2 linked regions of the Oryctolagus cuniculus genome follow. The protein of the gene in region 1 interacts with the protein of each later gene in a pairwise test. Links are inferred from orthologs where the notes say so. Each region holds a gene or a part of one and is shown on either strand. Other genes may lie near its edges.

What was found.
Region 2: the proteins of ESRRG (region 1) and NR0B1 interact in binary tests that used the Homo sapiens proteins (3 or more experiments, as listed by UniProt). The link is inferred for Oryctolagus cuniculus from reciprocal best matches to the Homo sapiens genes ESRRG and NR0B1.

What each region holds. Positions count from the first base shown.
Region 1 is NC_091444.1:30,737,153-30,740,673, forward strand, and holds part of ESRRG (estrogen-related receptor gamma), read right to left. Parts: intron 1,248-3,521; coding exon 1,003-1,247; 3' UTR 1-1,002. UniProt on the Homo sapiens protein: Orphan receptor that acts as a transcription activator in the absence of bound ligand. Binds specifically to an estrogen response element and activates reporter genes controlled by estrogen response elements.
Region 2 is NC_091453.1:16,770,229-16,772,943, forward strand, and holds the end of NR0B1 (nuclear receptor subfamily 0 group B member 1), read right to left. Parts: intron 1,077-2,715; coding exon 832-1,076; 3' UTR 516-831; downstream 1-515. UniProt on the Homo sapiens protein: Nuclear receptor that lacks a DNA-binding domain and acts as a corepressor that inhibits the transcriptional activity of other nuclear receptors through heterodimeric interactions.

The DNA of each region.
Region 1 (3,521 bases):
CACAAAATTGCAGTATTCTTATTTCTCTTTAGTATTGCATGAATGAATAAAGCTTAAACTATTCCCTGAAAAAGTTACATAGTAGCTAAACTAACAAATACCTGGAAGACTTGAAAAACAATTAAGGAATCAAATGGCTGTAACTGATCTAGATGGAAAAGCAATGATAAGCAGCAGCCGATGCAACGTGGCTGAGGTTGTCTAATCAGAGGCTGCTCCCGTGAAGCCTAATACTGCATCAGTCAATTCGTTTGTGTTGCACTGTACTTCTAGGTGCGTTGGTTCTCTCGCTTTGATTCCTCAGTCATTGGGGACGCTATGGTTCACGCTAAGGTCACTGGCATCCATACAATGGATCTCCATCCTTTGGCAGGGCTGGCTTCCACCACTCTCTGTTAGACTTCTTCTAAAAGTTCAGCAGCAGCAGGAAGGATAGGAACAGAAAGGGAGGGAGGGGAAAGGCAGGGAAGAGAAGGGGAGAGGAGAAGTGAGGAGAGGAGAGGAAAGGAGAGGGGAGGGGAGGGGAGGGGAGGGGAGGGGAGGGGAGGGGAGGAAGGAAATATTTCTTGCAACTAGAACCATTTAAAATTTAGAAGAAAAAGGGAAAATGAGAAAAGAGGAAGAGGAGGGAGGGAGGGAGGAAGGAAGGAAAGGGGGGAGGGAGGGCAGGCGAGCAGAAAGAAGGAAGGAAGGAAATGAGGGGAAGAAGAAACCACGAATGAAGGAAGCCAAGAAACAGGGAGGGGGGAAGAAGGCAGGGAGAAAACAAACTGGAGAGGAAGAGAAATGAAAGAAAGGGAGAAAAGATGAGCGAAAAAGTAGAAATCGTCAGGAAGACGCAGGAGTCTGAAGGCTGCTTCACAGTCTTGCTGCTAAAATATCAGTGCAGTCTTGGTTGGTTTTTGATGTTGTTAACTAAACTCTACATTTCTTCGACATCACTCTTGGGTTTATTTTCCCTTTTTTCGACGTGCAGGATGGGAAGGCCCAGGAAGCTTTTAGTCAGACCTTGGCCTCCAGCATTTCCAAAAAAAGTTTGTGCATGGGGACTTTGCCTTCGAGTTTGATGTTGTAGAAGTGCTGCACGGCCTTGGTGGAGGTCTGCCTGAGCAGCGGCAGCGTCATCAGCATCTTGCCGGCTCGGCGTGGGTCTTCCATGTGCTGGCCAGCCTCGTAATCCTGCAGGGCCTCGTGCAAGACATCCTGAAGCTTCTGCACGGCTTCTACGTCTTCTATGTGCATGGAGTCTGTACAACGAAGCAGAAAACGCAAGGAATCACATTAGTCGCCATCAACCGATGCAGACGGAAGTTACAAAAGTTAAGCATTGTTCTTGAACTTCTCAAAGTTCAGAGTCTCACATTTCCAACTTCCCCCATCAGCAATTTCAAATATTAGTTTAGAAGGTGGGAATTCCTTATTATTGGAAACTTGTGCTTTCTCCTAAGACTGGCCAAGAAAAGGCTATTCTGTTAACAGATGATAATCTTGGGTCTTTTATTCATTACCTCACTCATGAATTTATTCATTCAGCTCAACAATTATGGAAGGCCATCTATTAAAAGTATTATTCTAAGTGCTGTGTGAGATAAAGTTGCTTAAAATTCTGAACTTGGAGCAGTCATTTGGTGCAGTGGTTAATGTTTCAACTGAGATCCTCACACCCCACACTGCACTGCCTAAGTTTTCTGTCTGGGCTCCACTTCTGATGAAAGTTTCCTACTAATGCGTACCCTGGGAGGCAGCATATGACGAATGAAGTACTTCTGTTCCTGTCACCCACATGCAAGACTTGGATTAAGTTCTGAACTCCTGGCTTCAGCCTGGCCCAGCCCTAACTGTTGCGAGAACTTGGGGAGTGAACCAGCAGATGGGAGACCTTTGTGTGTCTCTCTGTCTTTCAAATGAAAATCAATTAAAAATAAGTAAACTGGGGAGGACATTGTGATTAAGCCGTCACTGGGGATGCTCATATCCTATATCTGAATTCTGAGTATTCAGTCCACCTCTGCTGCTGATCCAGCTCTGGCTACAAGCACACTCCAGGAGGCAGCAGATAATGGCTCAAGGAGTTAAGTCCTTGCCACCTAAATGGCATGGACATGGCTTCTGGCTTCAACTTGATCCAGGCCAGTTCTGGCTTTGTGGAAATTGGGTAGTGAACCAGTACCCAAGTATCTCTCCATCTGTTTTTCTCTTTATCTCTCTCTTCTGGTTGCTCTGCCTTTCAAATAGGTAAAATTTAAAAATTATGTTTCTAAAAATGTTAATATATTCTAATCTTGCCTGGAAAAAGCCCATATTTTCTAAAGGGGAACAATGCTGAAGACTAAGACCTTAGGAAGTCTGTGTCAACACAGTGAATCTAGCACTAGGCCAAAACAATAAAAAAGAAAAAAAAATGCTTATCTTTCTAGGATTTTGAATGTCCTACTAACTATTCTTCAAAGCATGCATGCACAGTCAACTTCCCTGTTGCTGAAAAGCGAATGGTGTCTTGAGATTATTGAGTATTCACACATATTTCACATTTGTGAAGGCGAACCTTGCCCTTAAATGACAAATTTGAAAATTAATCCAATCAAGCAAACAAAGGGTTAAGAAGGTTGCCACAATTATTCTTGTGAGAAATGTGAGATGTGGGGAAAAAATAAAAGTTACAGCTCTAGCTCTAAAAGAGACACTTAATTATATACAAGTTTGAATCATTTAGCACGTTTTATTGATTCTGATGACAGTTTATCTGTTAATTACACATAATGGAGTCTTTGGGGGATTCTTCATGTTTAATAATTCTAGTTCTCTGAGAACGCTGAGCTCTAAGATATATGTGGTTAGCTTAATCTTTCATACAATTCAAATATATATCACATGAACAAAATGGGACACAACATAATTTAAAATCAAGTGGCTAAATATATAACGTTAAAGAAATATGGCAAAGTAGTGAAAAGATAGATGGATTTAACTAGCAACATGTGTTTTTAAACTTCTTTGTATTTTGTATGTTGTTTTTTTTCTCTTATGCTGTTATTTTCAATATTTCACCATATTGCTGGTGAGAGGATCACAGGTTGGTGTGTACATTTCTTCCAAAGAATTTTGAATAATCTGGAGTAGAGCTGCTTTGCAAGTATTTACTGCTCAAGACTCGATTTCTGTCTGGTAGAAACAAAAAATTCTCAAAAAGGAAATAGCATTGATAATGGTGCCCTGGAGTATACGGAAGGCATCCCCAAAATACATCCAGCCTTTCCCCGTGGACTATTTCCACCTATGTTTCTCTCCAGCCTGGTTCCCCTCTACATGGTCATTCACCTATTTCATGTGCACACGCACTGTCTGCAGCCACGTGCAGCTATGGAAAAACAGCCATGGAAATTACAGGCATGCTGTAATAGGCTTTTCTTTGTTTCTTTTAAATGGCACCACACAATCACTCCTTTAATTTATATATATTTATATTTATTGGGGCCAGCACTGTGGCGCAGTGGATTAAAGCCCTGGTCTGAAGCACCGGC
Region 2 (2,715 bases), on another chromosome or scaffold:
TGCTGTGGATTATAATGCAAGAGGTACCAGGAACCCATAGTGAAGTCACTTTACGATTTTCTGCCATGTTTGTTCAAAGTTACAGTCACATAGACAACACATCTAAAAGGTGAAAGGTAATTAGGGGTTTATAATTATATTGAGTTCTGGAACTATAACTCTTCCTTATAGAACGTAAACTTGATTTCAGTTCCATAATGGTGTATAGAAATATCCCAAAAGAAAACTAAAAATTCTCATATTTCATTTTTATGAGGCTCTCCAACCAACACTGCTTCTTGTCTCCTTTTGGGTACAAAGACAGTCTTCCATGTAACTGACAGGTGTGGAAATGAAGACAGAGCAAAGTCTTTTCCTAACAACACTGGCAGGCCATAACATCAAATGCCATGTTACTTAGAGAGGTATTTTTTGCTTATGTTGACTAGGTTTTAATAAGTTTTGAAGTCTTAGTTAAGCCCCCAATGAAACTTTTCAGTCATGTTAATGGTTAACACCTTAAAATTTATTAAAATGTAATATTACAAATTCAATTTGAGCAGGTACATTGGAGTCAGTGACTAAGCTTTTGGAAATAGCTGACTAGTGGAATACCCTGCTCTTCTCTTAAAGATGTACAGAAGTGTGTTACTTGTTGACAAACGTTTTCCTTCACAATGAAACATCATAGAACAGAGGCTTTGTTAATCATCTATAACTAAACTATTTCTTTAATTGAATACAAAAATACTATGCATGTAAAAATAATAAGAAAGTTTATTTCACAATATTTGACATTCTTCTATCCACACCTCTTACACGGTTAACTTGGCTTGTATGGGCTAAATGGCTTCATAACTTCGCACAAAGCATCTCCAGCATCATATCATCCATGCTGACTGTGCCAATGATGGGCCTGAAGAACAGTTCAGCAATGACATTGGCATTGATGAATCTCAGCAGGAAAAGAGCACTGTTCAGTTCAGCGAATCTGGCCTGGTGCCCTCGGTGCGTCATCCTGACGTGTTCAGTGAGTATCTGCTGAGTTCCCCACTGAAGTCCCTGAATGTACTTCACGCACTGCAGGCCTGGCAGGTCTGGAGGGAGAAAAATCTCCTTGTTAGAAATGGCTCATCACAAATCCTTTGCTAGATTTTTAAATCTATCCTTTCTGCCTCTTCCCAATTAAACAAAAGCTCAAGATTCCTGATTCAAGGGTTTTTGAGAGCACAGATAAAATACCAAACCAGTTGTAAGTTTCCAGAAACAACACTTCCAAGAATGAAACATTAAGGTGATTTTCCTTATTAAATATCCACAATGCTTGTATACACACATTTAAAAATGCTGGCTGTGAGCCAACAAGTGCACGCCTAATTTGACAGTCGAGTATACTTTAATGAATCATTGTGCCAGCTCACTTTTTATACAAATATGAAAAAAAATAATGCTATCTCAGGAGGAGAGCACTGGGCTTTATACCATGGAAAACAGTCCACTGTACAATAAGTTTTGCCATCTGCAAATATTTTACCATCCGTCCACAAATTTCCCACCATGATACTGATTATTCAACCAATAGTGGTAAACTCCCCGGCCACAAACTGTGACTCCTGGGTTTCACTGTATTATTTGCTGCAGATCAATATTAATCTAGAGGCCCAAAATAATTTAAAAACTAATGCTGGCTATTTAGTTCATTGTATCATGGTTTCTGTATTGGGGGGCTTATAAAAAGGGGAGGTGCTTCTAATGAGTGTTCCAAAAGGCTTTTTAAATATATATATATATATAAATAAAAGATTTTAGAAATAATTCTCCTCCAGTCTTGAGAGGGTTAAAAGTAAATACTAGAATATCACGGACCACAACACAGTTCAAACAGAACTTTTTTAATAGACAATGCATGACCTCTTTTCAGTCAAGTGGATACTTAAGTAAAGTGAATGAAAATGCAACCCTGGAAAGAAGGATATATATTAATATACTATTTTATTATATTGTATTATATATATTAATCCTTGTACAGAAGGTGGTAAGAGGAGTCTGTTTTTAAAAGCCCTATGATTCTCCATGACAGTAATATCGTTCCAAAGTTCTTTAATTTGTATTCAAGTAAGTAATAGTTTATCATTAGGATTAAATAATGCCAATTATGATTGCAATCACTTCCCTTCCCTTTTTCTACAAAGTTCAACAGAATAATATTTTATAAGTATTATGCTAATCATCACAGAGTAGCAGAACCAATCAGTGATCTCTAAAAACTAATGGTGACAGATATGAGGCACTCTTCTAACAGGCAAATATCTGATCAATAAAATAAGAGCAAAATAATGCAGCACGTCTAACCTATACCCTAATCAGATTACCCAGTCCACACATTAATGTCTCCTACTACCTACAGCTCAACATCCAGGCTTGAAACTCAATTATATTGTTTGAATCCCACTGATGAAAGGAAGAGGCTTGCATGAAACTCCACCAGAAACTCAAAGTTCCTCCAGGTCCAGAGTCATGGTTCATGAAAACTTCATCTGTGACCTCCACGTTACTTTTCTCTGCTATCACACCACACCCATCCATGCCCACACCCTCCAAAATTGCGGCTTTTTCTGCAAAAGAGTCTTACCTTTAAAGTAAAGAAATAGAAATGGCAGGTGGGCTCCACAGTTTCCTAATTCTCCTTATCTTTATGTTTAAACCCAGAGAGTTTGTAGGAATAGAATTAAAAGA